Tribolium castaneum: one gene and its partners. The protein of the gene in region 3 binds, or shares a complex with, the protein of the main gene of each other region. Links are inferred from orthologs where the notes say so. Each region holds a gene or a part of one and is shown on either strand. Other genes may lie near its edges.

The links.
Region 1: the proteins of mitochondrial import inner membrane translocase subunit Tim22 (region 3) and Tim9a are in contact, whole or in part, in a cryo-EM structure (PDB 7CGP), measured with the Homo sapiens proteins. The link is inferred for Tribolium castaneum from reciprocal best matches to the Homo sapiens genes TIMM22 and TIMM9. Residues at the interface, in NP_037469.2 of Homo sapiens: Asp35, Arg37, Gln38, Pro39, Arg40, Leu42, Gly45, Ser46, Leu47, Gly49, Ile50, Ser52, Pro53, Lys60; in NP_001291414.1 of Homo sapiens: Gln13, Glu16, Phe17, Thr20, Leu57, Thr60, Gln61, Met65, Phe67, His71, Gln74, Asn75, Leu78, Lys81.
Region 2: the proteins of mitochondrial import inner membrane translocase subunit Tim22 (region 3) and Tim10 are in contact, whole or in part, in a cryo-EM structure (PDB 7CGP), measured with the Homo sapiens proteins. The link is inferred for Tribolium castaneum from reciprocal best matches to the Homo sapiens genes TIMM22 and TIMM10. Residues at the interface, in NP_037469.2 of Homo sapiens: Tyr25, Ser26, Leu28, Leu29, Gln30, Tyr31, Leu32, Val33, Arg40, Leu42, Leu47, Gly48, Glu67, Glu144, Ser145, Tyr146, Gly148, Ser150; in NP_036588.1 of Homo sapiens: Pro3, Ala6, Gln7, Leu9, Ala10, Ala11, Leu13, Glu14, Val15, Met17, Met18, Ala19, Tyr22, Ser44, Lys45, Gly46, Glu47, Arg53, His62, Glu63, Gly66, Leu69, Thr70, Ser73, Met74.
Region 4: mitochondrial import inner membrane translocase subunit Tim22 (region 3) and Mulk share a complex: the UniProt entries of both Homo sapiens proteins name them as parts of the TIM22 complex. The link is inferred for Tribolium castaneum from reciprocal best matches to the Homo sapiens genes TIMM22 and AGK.

Annotation. Positions count from the first base shown.
Region 1 is NC_087402.1:6,646,280-6,651,127, reverse strand, and holds Tim9a (mitochondrial import inner membrane translocase subunit Tim9), read right to left. Parts: upstream 3,191-4,848; 5' UTR 2,396-3,190; intron 2,124-2,395; exon of another isoform or gene 1,764-2,123; intron 1,711-1,763; exon of another isoform or gene 1,243-1,710; intron 1,140-1,242; 5' UTR 1,111-1,139; coding exon 1,048-1,110; intron 1,000-1,047; coding exon 904-999; intron 888-903; exon of another isoform or gene 857-887; coding exon 719-856; 3' UTR 669-718; downstream 1-668. Other genes in the region: ras-related protein Rab-32, read left to right, coding at 183-243, 292-472, 520-668. UniProt on the Homo sapiens protein: Mitochondrial intermembrane chaperone that participates in the import and insertion of multi-pass transmembrane proteins into the mitochondrial inner membrane.
Region 2 is NC_087394.1:33,996,896-33,999,916, forward strand, and holds Tim10 (mitochondrial import inner membrane translocase subunit Tim10), read right to left. Parts: upstream 1,321-3,021; 5' UTR 1,181-1,320; coding exon 926-1,180; 3' UTR 824-925; downstream 1-823. Other genes in the region: probable RNA-binding protein 19, read left to right, coding at 55-257, 310-426, 481-589, 637-804.
Region 3 is NC_087401.1:15,999,246-16,002,683, forward strand, and holds mitochondrial import inner membrane translocase subunit Tim22, read left to right. Parts: upstream 1-1,569; 5' UTR 1,570-1,697; exon of another isoform or gene 1,698-1,749; 5' UTR 1,750-1,808; coding exon 1,809-2,198; intron 2,199-2,250; coding exon 2,251-2,409; 3' UTR 2,410-2,474; downstream 2,475-3,438. Other genes in the region: potassium voltage-gated channel subfamily H member 6, read right to left, coding at 1-42. UniProt on the Homo sapiens protein: Essential core component of the TIM22 complex, a complex that mediates the import and insertion of multi-pass transmembrane proteins into the mitochondrial inner membrane. In the TIM22 complex, it constitutes the voltage-activated and signal-gated channel.
Region 4 is NC_087402.1:192,750-196,797, reverse strand, and holds Mulk (acylglycerol kinase, mitochondrial), read left to right. Parts: upstream 1-1,778; 5' UTR 1,779-1,805; coding exon 1,806-1,915; intron 1,916-1,934; coding exon of another isoform or gene 1,935-1,960; coding exon 1,961-2,307; intron 2,308-2,351; coding exon 2,352-2,748; intron 2,749-2,896; coding exon 2,897-3,272; 3' UTR 3,273-3,295; downstream 3,296-4,048. Other genes in the region: probable N-acetyltransferase san, read left to right, coding at 1-85, 131-296; derriere protein, read right to left, coding at 393-712, 802-973, 1,020-1,397, 1,447-1,647; E3 ubiquitin-protein ligase TRIM33, read right to left, coding at 1,935-2,130. UniProt on the Homo sapiens protein: Lipid kinase that can phosphorylate both monoacylglycerol and diacylglycerol to form lysophosphatidic acid (LPA) and phosphatidic acid (PA), respectively. Does not phosphorylate sphingosine. Phosphorylates ceramide.

The DNA of each region.
Region 1 (4,848 bases), on a different chromosome or scaffold from region 3:
AAACTCTGACGTTGTTTGAATGATTTGTGTTATTCTAAACAACAAAAAACTTTTTGTGGCTTCACCAGTGAGGGTATTAAAGCACTGGGAAAAATATTTTTTTGTATTTCTATTAATTAATGCGCCTAAAGTCCGGTCTTTAGAGATAAGCAATGAATCATGCGTGAGGTGTTTAATTTTAGAGTTGCCGCCGCTATTGTTTTTGATCTGACGAGACCTGAGACTTTTAAATCGGTAGAAAAGGTACCAAAACCCCTAAATTGTAATTCTCTCCTCATGTTTTTTGTCTAGTGGTTGCTCGATCTGCGCAAAAAAGTGCACTTACCGGGAGGTGTTCCCGTACCTGTTGTGATTCTAGCAAATAAGGGTGATATTACGATTGCAACCCTGCCTCAAGAAATAGTGCATTTCTGCGAGAAATACAACATATTAGCGTGGTTTATCACTTCAGCGAAGGATAATGTCCACATAGGTAAAAATAAGCGTTATTCAAGCGTGGTAAGTAATCTTTTATTGCAGATGAGGCAATGTTGACTCTGATAAATGCAGCAGTGGAAAATCACGAAAATTTGCAATTTCCCGCTGCCGTAGACAATGACGTGGTCCATTTAGCAAATGAGGATACTCAGTTTTGTCAAAACAATCAAACACACTGTTGTCAAAGATGAGGCTATATTTTGTAACAAACTAACAATAACAAACACAAATAAATTATCGTTCAGGTCGGATTTTGGCCGAGTTTTTGCGCCGCCGCGATTGCATTCTCATTCGCAAGCATTTGGAACTCCTGGAATCGTTGAGAAATGCGTTGATTTACTTTGAGAAATTTTTCGAGGCAATTTAACGCACAGCGATCCTGTAATAGCAAAATAAAATGATCAGAAACCGACAGTCGTTACTTACTTCACTCCCTTTGATATTCCGAGATGTGAAATCCGAAACACAGTCCGTGAAACACAATTCGGCTAGTTTATTGTAAGAGATGAGGAAATCTTTGAACTGCAAATAAAAATTTGAGAATTGAAATTGTTGTTTTTTTGAAATTACCGTTTTAACTTGCTCTGCATCGACATTTTCGAGCCCGGCACCGGGGGGAAGTGTTACATTCATTTTAATTTAAGTTTTGTTGTGGTTTTCACCACAGAACAGAAAGGGTTAAGAAGTGATAATTCCCTAGTAAATCACTGGCAACACGAGAATCCAGCGCCTCTGGTGCTGAAGTGCGTTACTACCACGGTAAAGTGCCACGTTTGAATAAATTCCTTTTATATTGTTTTTTATTATTTTTATCTTACAAGTTTCATTGCAAATTGTTTAAAATAAAAAAATATATTTTCATTTTAAACAAAATGAAAACGTTTTATATTTATTTTAAACAAAATTTGAAATGAAACTTACAAAAAAAGTTGTTTTGGGGTAATAAAACACAGATTTTGTTAACATTTTTATTGTACACTTGAGTAACATAACAAATTAAATTTTTCAAAAAATTAAAGTATTGTATTATTTCTTAATTATACAAAAATTATAAAAAAATTAAATCAGTCAGTGTTGGCATGTTTTGCCTGTCTGCTCGAGACTTAAAACAAAATAAGGTCTGCTTTGCAATGACTTTTACCTTGTCTGTCAGCAAACAGTTGCCCACGCTACGACCACGAGGAGGTACATGCAGTGCACTGACACACTCGAGCGCAAATAAGAAACTTAAAAGTAAATTCTGAAATACCCTAAATAGCGAAAACGCCAAAATTTTGAACTTACAGGATCCTCAATTTTGCAGGCATTCCTCCACAATTCTTGAAGCTTTGGATTCTTAGGGAAGGTGAAGAAATGCTTATTGGACTGTCCTTTGTTGGGAACATAATCACTGGTGCATCCGGGGTATTTGCAGGAATATTTGCGATAACCAGCCATGACTAAAGTTCAGTTGAGTAGTAGAAATCAAAAATCCGTCACTCCAGACCAATGCCTTTAAAATAGAAAGAAACACCAATCAAAAAGATGAGGTTATATTAATAAAATAAGAGATACTTATCTTTTTGGTCGGCGCTCAACACCAGGAATTGACTCACTAACGAACTGTAATCAGAATTTTTGCTTTGATTAAACGATTAAACAAATAATTGCTACATACTTCCGGTAACACGTTGAACGATGAGTGACAAAACAACACTTTTGGCGCGATATTTTCGGTGCGATCTGCGCGCAAGCGTAGATGTCATTGTTACGTCAAAAAATATAATTTAATGAAATCCCTAATAAATACGCGCTTGTTTTAAAATAAGCAGTCGTCATTGGTCGTCCCTTTTCATCTCCCCGGGAGTGCAAAACCCCCCTCGCCTATACTCTCGTGTTGCCAATGCGCGTATCCCACTTTCACCCCCATGGTTTTCACGAGGTAAATTTGTGAGGTTATGCAAATCAGTGATTGTCACTTGACAAGAGGTGGATAAAAGAGAAAACTGCACAGGCATCCCGAACTGATATAGCCAAATCGAGCTCTCACTGACACAGCTTCCTTGATTAATGAAGGGACTTTCCCTTCACACGGCTGGCCGCATTGCTTAGTTCCTTGGCATATTTTTGTTTCTGAGAGGGAGCCACTATAAAGTAAAACAATTCTGACAGTTCTAAGGTTAAGTGTTGTCACACTGCTGTCAGTGCAGAAGATTTCTAAGGCAAAACGCATTAGTTTTAGCTATATAGTTGTAGAAAACGTATTCTACAAACATTTGGCACGTGTTTTTACTATGAGGAACCAAAAGCGCATGTTGCCATGTGAGCGACCAAGAGCATATGCCAAGAGCGAACTGCGAAACACAAAACGAACGTAAAAAGCATCATACAAACTTGAACATTTTGCCGAATGGTAAACAAACATTTTTATGCTCACGAAAATGATCAAAAGAGTGTTGGAACGCATTTGCAACCAACTGTACAAAATGTAATTAGTGTCCAAATGCTTTGCATTTCAAATTTAGATTAAAACTTGTGGAAAAAAATTAAACTAAGCTTTGTCTTGCCTTCCTGTTAGCAAAATTTTGTATAAATCTTGTGCAAAAGAGGTTGAAAACTTAAATTTGTAAAAAATATGACGGCTGTCACGTTTGAAACCAAGTGAATTTTTCAGCAGCAACTAATAGATGGCGCTACAATAAAGTAAGCTCTCAAAAAACACTTTTTTTGTTCAATGCGACCAGCCGTGTAAAGGGTACCTCCCTTCACTAATCAAGGAAGCTGTGCTCACTGAATTAGGTTTTACTGATGATGCGGATAGATGGCCTTAGTGTTTTACGGGAAAAAAAAATCCTATTGGCGGATTTAAAATTTCAGATTATTGAAGAAAAACGTGGTGCCGATGCGCGGCTGACAAGTAAAAATTTCACAAACGTCACAAATTTCACAAATTTGAGTTTTATGAAATTATTAGTTAGTGAAATAAATAAATACGACACCTTCACCTACCTTCATATCGCTTCCACGTTGGCTACCGTTTGTAGCATTAAAAAAAATTAAAAACAACACCAATAAAAAATCTTTATTTGCATGAAAATTACAACAAGCGACATAATTTTACGGCTGTAAAAAACAGTCAACAATGTTATATTTAAGGATTGCTCTAATTGGTCAAATTAGTCAATAACTAATTTGTCCGGCAAGAACCACGTGGAGGTTTAGAGCATTCTTGCCAGGAAAAATGGATATAAGGATGAGGTAAACAATGATTACTTCAAATGAAGGGAATAAAGGAATTATTGGTTTGTGAAATGAAAAAATAGTACACAAAAATCAAAGCTTTTTCACTTGGCGTTAAATAAATGCTCTTACCTTTATACTGCATCTGCTACCATTTGTAGCAAAACCTAAAAAATAAATTAAAAACACAACCAACAAAAAAATTAATTTGTAGGAAAGTTACAACAAGCGACTTTAATAAATATTATACAGAATAAAGAATACACAATACGGTATAATATATGGCACACAAGCTATTAAATCAACACATCACAAGATAAAACGCAAAAAAATGCACCTACCTTCATATGGCTTCTGCGTTGGCTACTGTTTGTAGCATTAAAAAAAATAATAATAAAAATGAAACCAAAATAAAATGTTTATTTGCATTAAATTTTGAGCAAGCCACTTTCATTCATTGAAATTAAAGGCAAAATTTCGTGGCAATAAATTATTTGAGTGGTTTATTTTATTTATAGTTACTGTATTTAAAATGTGTCACTCAAAACATCACTTTTCAATACCGCATTTAAAGATTTTAATTGCAATTAAGTTTTATGAAATTATTGGTTTGTGAAATAAATAAATACGACACAGCAATAAAATACACCTACCTTCATATCGCTTCCACGTTGGCTACCGTTTGTAGCATTAAAAAAAATAATAATAAAAATGAAACCAAAAAAAAATAATAATAAAAATGAAACCAAAAAAAATGTTTATTTGCATTAAATTTTGAGCAAGCCACTTTCATTCATTGAAATTAAAGGCAAAATTTCGTGGCAATAAATTATTTGAGTGGTTTATTTTATTTATAGTTACTGTATTTAAAATGTGTCACTCAAAATATCACTTTTCAATTCCGCATTTAAAGATTTTAATTGCAATTAAGTTTTATGAAATTATTGGTTTGTGAAATAAATAAATACGACACAGCAATAAAATACACCTACCTTCATATCGCTTCCACGTTGGCTACTGTTTGTAGCATTAAAAAAAATAATAATAAAAATGAAACCAAAAAAAATGTTTATTTGCATTAAATTTTGAGCAAGCCACTTTCATTCATTGAAATTAAAGGCAAAATTTCGTGGCAATAAATTATTTGAGTGG
Region 2 (3,021 bases), on a different chromosome or scaffold from region 3:
TCGCCTGTTAGTTTTGGTTTTCGGTATTTCTATACTTTTAGATGTTTTTTGTAGCATTTTGAAAGTTGTGGCAAACTTGCGTACGCCAGCGTTGCAACTAAAAAAGACAAAAACGACCCAAGTAAACGTCTATCCATGGGATATGGCTTTGTTAGGTTTATACATAAAAGCAGCGCTGATAAGGCTCTCAAAACCCTTCAGCAGAGCACTCTAGACGGCAAATCCCTAGAATTGAAGAGATCTGAACGGACGTTGAAGTTTGTTCTTGTCCAATTTATTTCCGCTTAATCTTATTTTACTAAATTTTAGCAACGAGGTCAAAGTTGTTAAAAAAAGCACCAAAGCAACGAAACAAACAGGAACCAAGATTTTGGTTCGAAATATCCCATTCCAGGCTAACCAGAAGGAAATTAGGGAACTTTTTAGGCATTTTATTAAAATTTAATTGTACTACTAACATGACTTAATTAATTGTTTTAGTGTTTTTGGCGAAATTAAAGCGTTAAGGCTCCCAAAGAAAATGGCCTTGGATGGGGGCTCACATCGAGGTTTTGCGTTTGTCGATTTTGTGGCAGCCTCTGATGCCAAGGTGAATTAATTATTAATTGTAACTTGTTAGCATAATTATTTTTTTAGAATGCATTTGAGGCTTTGTGTCAAAGTACCCACTTGTACGGTCGGAGACTAGTTCTCGAGTGGGCCTCAAGTGAGGACAGTGTGGACGATATCAGGAAGCGAACAGCGGCTCACTTCCAAACCACTGAAGCAGTCAAGTCGAAGAAAAGTGTTTTAAGCATTGATTAATTAAAAATAAAAACTACACTTTGTCTAGTCAAGTTTATTACCTCTAGAATAAACCAACATTACAAAATTAAATTACAAACAAAAACAAAACATAACTAAGTCCAACTACGGGGCGCTCCAATTATTTCTTAAGAAGTTGCTCGTCTTGCATTGAAAGTTGGCCAAGTTTCTTGCCAATGCGTTCATGGATGTCTAGAAATTTGGCCACACATCTATCAATGCAAACGGCTTCGCCTTTGGCAATTTCCGCGTCGTTGTAAACGGGAGGAATGCACTTTTTGTGGCATGCTGTAGTTAGACGGTTGTACATGTCTGCCATCATTTCGATTTCCAATTCTTGCATCAACTGCAACTTTTGAGCGTCACTCTCTGCCATTTCAATTCCGTGCAAATGTGACGCGTTATTAACGATAATTAAGTTCGAGGAGTGTGACGAGGACCCAATTCGTAATCACCAACGTTCGAGAGTCGCATGCGTTCCCTTATTTTCATATTATCATAACGCCTTTTCTCAACACTGGATTTGGACAAGTAGAACAAGTAAATACCAAACGTTGTACATATGGTCCTGCGAACCGACAAATTATTGCAATAAAACGATTTTTCGGTGCGAAAGTGAGGTTATGGTCAGTCGTTGCCTACTTTTGGAACTTACCATCCAATTCCTATTTTTGCATGTGTCCCTAAGCGCATACTTCCACCAATGCCTTAACTCATTATTTAACAAACTAGGAGTTGTTAAAAATATCAAAAATCGTGAATTTTTAAAATTGTGGTTATGCTCACATGGACTTTTGCGGTTACGTTGCGTGTACGTTCGTTGCGTTATGGAAGCACAAAAAGTCTAGTTTACACGTGATTTCCATTTATTTAAGGGATGGTTTACAACAAATCTAATAGAAATCACAGTAGAGATCTATTTTAGTTTGCCCTAACCCTTGGTCAGTTGAAATTTGATTTTTGCATTTAGCAGCAATTTGCTCGAAAACTATTAGTCGGAGAACAATAATATTTTTTGAAAAAAATAGATAATTTAAAGAGCTTTCCAACAATAATACACATCATGGGGTTATCTCTAATAGTTCCGGAGCTATTGCTCGACAAATGTTCCGGGTACCCAAAATCGACAAAAACTGCGACGAAAATTGAAAAAATCAAACATCAAAAAATCGAACATTTGGACTTTTTGTGGACTTTTAACAACTTTAGTGGGTTGTTAAGACATGTAGAAGTCCATAAAAATTTGCTGAAGTTAGTTTAAAAAAATTTTTTTTTTCAACTTTTTGAAGGTACTGTATTTTACTCAGGAAATTTGGGCAAAAAAATTAAAATTTTAAATCTCGTGAAAAGTTGGTATAATACAGAAAATAAACCGCTGAATTCAATGGAACAAACCGCATTGCTCTACGACTTTTAGTTTTTGAGTTATGAATTTTTTTAATGAATAAAATTTTTCAGTATGACAAATGGCTACCCTAAATTTAGGCAAAAAATTTTAAATTTTTAATTCTTGTGAAAAATCGATATAATATGTAAAATGAGCCGTAGAATTCAGTGGAACAAACCGGAATTCTCTACGACTTTTAGTTTTTTTTTTATGAATTTTTTTAGTGAAAAACTTTGATCGCCTCTGTAGCCGGAACCGTTGCCCGGAGCGGCTCCGGGTTTGGTCGAAAAAATAGATAAAATTAAGCGCTATCAGATGGTTTTTTGTTCGTTGCTCTAAGTCTTACAGTTTCCGAGAAAAACGCCAAAAAAAGTTTCCATTTTCAATTTTTTCCAATTTTCAACTGCCAATTACGGCGAAACTATTAAAGATATCGAGAAACGGAAAAATGGAGAACAACCGGAATAAAAAACTCTACAAAATGGCATAGGACTCAAGGCGATATCTCGCAAAAAATTTTTCAATTTTCAAACGCCGATTACGGCCAAACTAAAAGAGCTAGAAGAAAACGGTTTGTTACATCGTAAAGAGCACATCAAAATCTATAAGATAAAATTGGTTTTATTTGATTTTAAAACACTTTAAAAATTGACCGATTTTAAGGGGGGGGTGTTAACTTTATTTTAATTTTTTTTATTTTCTCATTTACGGATAAACTATTCTAAAAAGTGGAACTGTTTCGATCCATACCAATGCAAAATGATCCGGGGAATCGATTGGCATCGAGAAAATTGCCAAATTCCCAATAGTTTTTTAGTTATAAATTTTTT
Region 3 (3,438 bases):
AAGCGTGGTCCTGGGAGCGACAAGCCCTCTTCGCACCGGCATATCAACAACTACAATGCACACTCGATGATCATTTTTTCGTTAGGAAAAATTCATAGAAACACCAAAAATAAGGCATCCATAAGGCAAATTCAGCGGTTTAAATATAAAATCGCGGCTATTTGTAGCGCTTTAAAAATAAACGCCTTGCACGAAAAATCCGGCGATTTTCACCAAAAGACGACCAAATCTATACGAATTTCGGTAAAAATACACCCCCGAGGGTGCGCGCGCATTGCACTCGAGATTTTCGCGACATTGGCGCGCCTCGAAGCTCAGTGTCATTCAACTGAGCTTTCGCAGGTGGCAGGAATCGGCGCCAGCAGGAAAATCCCGCACTTGCGCACGATTTTGTTGATGTTCGAGGGGTAATAACACGAAATTGAACGATCAAATTTGCAACGGTAGGCAACACGGAATGCGGGCTAATTTTACATCACAGGCGGAAGTGTATTTTTAAATTTTATGGCCGAGGAGAGACAAGTTTTCGGACAAGTTATAGCCGACCAAATGTGCGCAAAATCGACCCACAAACACTACGAAAATGTCCAGAAAATTTCAGACAAATCGGGCCGTAATTAGCTGATGTATTGAGATGCCAAGAAAAGGGGAAAAATGCAAAATCTTGTAAAAAATTATTTTCAAACTCTAAAACTGTGGCAATTACGGGATCATTTTGTACACATTAAGGACTTCCTATGCCATCTATTTCCAGAGTAGTGTTTCACTTTCAATTTTTTTGGTCATAATAACTCAATAAATCCAACGTGTAAAGTTTAAAAAAGGCGAATTGGTTCAAGTTACTGCTACACCACTTTCTAGAAATTATTTTTGTTTTTCTTTAATAACTTTGAAACGGGGTAATCATTTTAAATGATTTGCTATCAGATATTCGACAAAATTTTATTTGTATCTTAGAAGTTTCAGCCAAATAGAGACAAAATTATCTGATATAATAATAATAATAATAATAATAATAATAATAATAATAATAATAATAATAATAATAATAATAATAATAATAATAATAATAATAATTAAACCCATCTTTGCGAAATAATTGTACAATAAAGTACAAAATACATGTTTTTAACTCGGATTTTTTTAATTAAAAATCGAATTTTGTTACTTGACGCAATATAAAAAACTATTTTACTAAATAATCTTCGAGGAAATGTTCGATTTCTGATCACCAAAGTACGTATTACAATTTTTTGTGTTGAAAAAGCGACAAAATGGCCGACAAATAAAGTCAAAATACAATTATTCTTTTAATAAAATTCTTTTTATAAATTATTTTTGATCTATTTTTTTACGTAATAAAAATAATCTATGAGCTTATTTAACGTAATTATTTTATACTTTAAACTTAATAAAAAAATTGGCTTATAGAGACGAGTGCCACCTTCCGGTGTCAATTGGTACCTAGCAAATTCCAAAACAATGTTCCTAGAAATAAAGTAGCAAAGTAGTTCTTATATTACGATCCAAATCATATTTATTTACATACAAATCCCTTAGTATGTATTTCTTAATAATATCAATCCCAAATAACTGTTTCTGAATCTAATTTTTCAAAAAATGTTTTCTGTAATTCTATAGATGTTCTGTAGTAATGGTTTGTATCGCGGCTAAATTCCCACCCGGTCAAATTTAAGGTTATATTCGTAAATTATCTAGAAAACATCCCCCAAAGCCCACTTTTTCCAGTCACATGCGCCCCCAACCCTAAAAAATCACCCCCGTGACAAAGTTTTATAAAGTGAGTCATGTCCCAATCCGACACAAAACGGGCCCTCACCCCCGAAGAATGGTCCTTCCTCACGCACTATTTCGTGGGCAACGACCACCGCTACCGCGAAAACATCATAATCCCCCGCACCCTAGGCCCCGTCCAAATCAAAAGCAATGAAGAAAAACGCGTGGAAGCCTTCTTCGAAAGTTGCCCCTTCAAATCGCTCATGAGCTGCGTCATGGGCTACGGTCTGGGGGCTGCCATCGGTCTGTTCTCAAGTAGCGTGGGGCCCACGGCCACCAACGTGGAGCAACAAACGGCGAGACAAGTCTTCCAAGAAATGAAAAGCACAACGCTGAGTTATGCTAAGAATTTTGCCATGATTGGGGCCCTGTTTTCGGCAGTGGAGTGCAGCATTGAGACGGTGATTTAGAAAAATTGTTGATTTTATGGGGTTATTGGGGTTGTTGTTGCAGATGAGGGGGAAATCCGATTGGAAGAACGGGACGTACGCGGGGGCTGTCACAGGGGGGCTCATTGGGCTAAGGGCTGGGGTTAAGGCGGGCGTTCTGGGGGCGGCGGGATTTGCGGCGTTCTCGACCGCCATTGACTATTACATGCATTCAAGGTTTTAAATTAGTTAGGTAAATTAGTTTTGTAAATATTTAAAATTGTAAAATAAATAAATAATAAAATGACACGAAGTATAAATCTATAACCCAACTCCATTTCCCGAACCATTAATTTTCCTAAAGAGATTGAAAAAATATTATATACACTTTGAGACACTCGCTACGCTCGTGGCATAATTCAAGTAAAAGTTTCAAAATAGTGGTACCTTTGGAAAAAAATATATGAGGCTCTCTGATTTAAAAAGCCGATTTTTTGTTTAGTAATTTAATAGATAATGAGTGCACATAATGCATATTAGAAAGCCCTCCTTGTGTAACAAATTAAATCCATACAGCAGCAGATCGCCGTTTCGCCGAAATTCCGTTTATATAAGTCCAAGTTTACTTTCACCAGAGTTCAAACGCCAATTGTTACGTTTAAAATTGCATAATCTTTGACATTACTAATAATTTTGTAACAAGCCGGCCATAAACAAATATCAACACACGTTTTTATTTCCTAATGACTTGTCCTTGAACGTTGCAGTTTCAAGCGAACAAAACAATAAAACTTACTATTTGCTTGACCAATATTTATTTACACGAAAAAAAATTAAACCTTCTTAGAAATAATAAAATATAATTAATTAAAAATATTTACTATTATTTCGCCCATTGGCGATTATTTCACCAAAAAATGGGTAGGATCGTAAAATCAATTTCCAAATTGGCGTGAAATTTTCACGTTGATATTGGTATTATTTCGTCCGAATAGTCGGAAATACCACTGCACTTTCTGTTTTCGGGAGGTGTATCATAAATGCTGCCGGTACAAGATTCTTCCATTTCTTGTCGAAAACGCGCGAGTGAAAGTGCTAGAAACACGCGCTAAAACGCTTTTTTTTCGATTCACAAACTGTAAGTAGACTTTATTATATCATCGGCGGCTTCCACGGCGAAAAAAAACACAATTTCAGGGCTAGTTGCACATTTTATAACAAAATTATCGAAAAAAATCGCAAAATTTGTGTATTAACCAACGAGCTCATTATA
Region 4 (4,048 bases), on a different chromosome or scaffold from region 3:
ACCGTAGACTTGGAATAGGTACATTAATGGTCCAACATGTCTTATATTACGTGGAACAGGATGGCAATTTTGATAGCATATTCCTGTAAGAGTTTTTTTTTATATTAAACCCAATAACACGTTCTTTTAGCCACGTGCAAGTAAACAACGAAGGAGCGATTGATTTCTACAAAAAATTCGGTTTCGAAATCGTCGAAACTAAAGAACATTACTACAAAAGAATAGAACCGGCAGACGCTCACGTTTTACAAAAAACTCTGAGGAAAAAAGGACAAAGCAACGGAAACGCTGAGTAAAACACATTGCATGATTGATTTTTTTGTTACAGTATTTTTTAATTTCAAACACATTGTATAATTGTTTAATAAAGTCATCGTTTGCGTTAAATCTGTTTATCTGCAACCACATGCCGAAATTACCATTTCGTCGTAAAACTTGATCATAACATTGCCAAATCTATCGTAAAACATTATAGGGAGAGGAGCGTATTTTGTGGGGCCACAACAGGGACTTTTACGCCCCAGTTCAGGAAAGAAATTTGTGGTTTTGTGATGGTTTGGTAAGTGGTGGGTTTGATAACACGTGCCGTGGCAATTGTAGGCGTTATAACCAGCTGGTGATATAATAAATTTCATCCAGTTGAGTTTTTGGAAGTCGACGTATAAATCATGTCTTCTGCAAGCGTTACTTTCGGTAATTTCATCATTTGTTCCTACAATACAATAAACATACAGGGTTGGGCGAAAATATGGAGCCAAGTGTTTTGTGCCTAAATTATGTAACTTAGAAAAAATAACTTACCATCACTTCTCGGCGATTCTGATTTTAATATAAGAAAAGTCCTAAACGCGTTTCTATTACTGTCGTTAAAAAGATTAAATTGTTCGTCGTTTGGTTTCGAAATTGTGATAAATATCGACAAATCCGTTGTTTTTTTTATCCAATTATGCAACGATTTGGTTAATTTAAACACCTGGCGATGATTTAAGTGTTGAATGAAAATTCAATATAATTGTTACCTGCCAGCCACTTTCAGCTTGATAAATGTAAATCACATTGAGCAGTTTGTGTGAATCTGGATTTATCAAAGCCGTTTCATTGATATCATTTTCGACTTGATAAAGGCGCAAAATTAGCGATTTTTGTGTCAAATTGGCCTCAACTTTGTGGTAGAAATGTAACTCAACCTCCGCAACGTCCAATTTACTCGAATTAAATTTGATTATGGTTGAATTTAGCGGATTTGCGTTGAAGAGAATGTGAACAGGAGCTGCCACATTTTGCGAATATGCTTCGTAATATTTGTAAATGTATGATGGTAGTTTATTTCGGGTGATGTTGGTCCAATTGTAGTTCCATTCGGAGTCTAAAAGTGGGTGAATGTAGGGTTTAGTGCCCTAAAACAATTTTTTTTCTAATTTACTAGTACTACAACATTATTATTACATTCGTATTTGTGGCAGTTTTACGTGTGACGTTCCTATTATTCCTGAGTTCACTTATTTGAATTGCGGGATAATTCGTTTGATTAAAATTGACACGATTCCGAACCATGAACTCATTTGTAGTTTTATTCAAATTAAAATAATACGTTTTGGCTTCGATTTGGGCTAAAACAAGGAACAAGACCACAGTTATCAACCGCATTTTTCACACAAACTAAATAATTTACCAATTACGACGCCTAACAATCCAGGAAATTGCAAATTCTCTAATTTACGGCAATTTTCAAATTACGCGCCGTCTTGTCCTTGAACCATTCCATTAGTCAAATTTGAGGTTATGCTAATAAATTTAAACAAAACATGACTTTTGTACTAAAAACGGCAAAAACTTTACGCAATCATTGGAAGAAGTCAACGTTTGCAGCCGTGGCCCTACTGTACGGCTTTGAATACGCCAAGGAACGTTTCGAGTGAGTGACATAACCTCACATTAGCCCCCTCAAATTTTATGTTAGGACCCAAGAATTGATGCGTGTTTATTGCGAAAAGGCGGCAAGATTTGGTCTTGAACCAATTCGTGTGGAGGCTGACCCCCGTAACGTTACGGTAATTCTCAACCCCAATGCCAATAAGCGTAAAGCTGGTGATGAATTTGAGAAATATTGCGCCCCCCTGTTGCATTTGGCTGGAATTTGTGTCAATGTTGTTAGGACAGAGTCAGAGGGGCACGCCAGGACTCTTATCAATGATTTAAACGGGACTGATGCTGTGGTTGTGGCTGGGGGCGATGGGACTGTCTCTGAGGTGATAACGGGGCTTTTGAGGCGTACGCAGGAAAACACCAACGGTTTGATTCCAATAGGTTTGTGTTAGTGGGTTTTTGGTGAAAATAATAAAGGTTTGAAGGTGTCTTGCCTTTGGGTAAAACAAATTCTGTTGCTAAAATTTTGTTTCCTTGTGGGAGTCATTTGGAGAAGGTTCGCTCGTTGGCTGATGCCACAATGGCAGTTGTTGAAGAGGTTGTGAAACCTATTAATGTGTTAAAAGTTGAGGTGTTGGAAAATGAAAACAAACCGATTTATGCAGTTTCTGGGATCAAATGGGGGGCTTACAGAGACGCGGAAACTAAAAGAGACAGTTACTGGCTTTATGGCAAATTTCGTAATTATGTGACTTACTTATTTAACGGATTAAGAAATAACTTGTCTTGGAATTGTTCAGCTGAACTTAATTACACACCACCTTGTTCAGGTTGTTCAAATTGTGCGAAACAGTCACAACAACAAAAAAAGTGGTTCCAGAGGTAAGTGGCATTTGTAACTTATTACAAATAATAAAAAAAGTAATTGAATACAAAGTAATCAGATTATATTGTTATTACTTTAATTACATTATAATCTGATTAGACCCCACTTTGGTAAGTGGTACTTACTTTTTGTACAATTATTTAGATTTGCCAAAGACCAAAAGCCGGGTTTTTCGAATATTATTAATCCGGAATGTCAGATGATTTATCAAAAGTATATTTCAACGGTTGATTTTAATCTAGAAGTTGAAAGTGAACAAGTCCCGAAATTGGTGGTCAATGTTGGTCCGAAAAGTGTCAATTATTTCGATTTTGTTAAAGAAGGATGGAAGTCGGAAAAAGGAGAAAAAAGAAAAGTGAGGGAAATAATTGAGGCGAGATCTGTGGAAATTCAACCGAAAATCAATCAAAATGAGGAGAAATGGTTTTCCATTGATAATGAAAATTATGAGCTGAAACCGGTCAGAGTTACGCTATTACCGAAATTAATTAATGTGTTTTGTAAAAAAGAAAATTTGTAAATAAAATAATTAAACTGCCCAAATTGGTTTTCTTTTAACATTTACAAATCGTTAAAAATAAGGTTGAAAGCCGCCGTTTTGATGTAAATTTATTTAAATAACAAAGAAATTAGGAATTCATAGATCGCATAATTTTACACTATCATCATATTTTCTACATTGCTGAGAATCATTGCATTTTTTCCGTCAACTAAATCGTGAATGATTAATTGTAACTGCACATGACGTAAATAAATAAGTGTATCGATAAATACAGTTCTAGTGATTATTCATTAAGTTAAGTATTTACAAAACAACTCTCGAGTTGTTTTTCAGTGCGTTATCTTTAGTCAACCGTTTGCCAAATTATATAAAATCGTACTGAACAAACAACTCTCAAGCTTCATGTACAAACTGGTATTATATTTTGAACACATTTACCACTGTACTTGCGGTAGTGGATTGGTATGGCCCTGGCTTGGAAATTACTTTTTTTTTCTTTCTTCTTGAGGTATGTTTACAACCAAACGGAATCACTTGGTTCAATACTGCTGTACTAAATCTAGTTACACTTGATTGACAAAAAAATAAACTAAAAAACAAAACAAATGATCTGGTGTTAAACAACCAGAGCCAACTTGCATACAGTTAACGGTAAATCATAGGAAACATGTATACATATGTGGTTACTCGCTAGAATTAATCATTAATATTTAAATACTAGGCATAAATTACTTTATCCTCATTTTTAACTTAATTCCTAGTAAAAATTTCAAGTTTCTTTCTTCAAGTCAAAA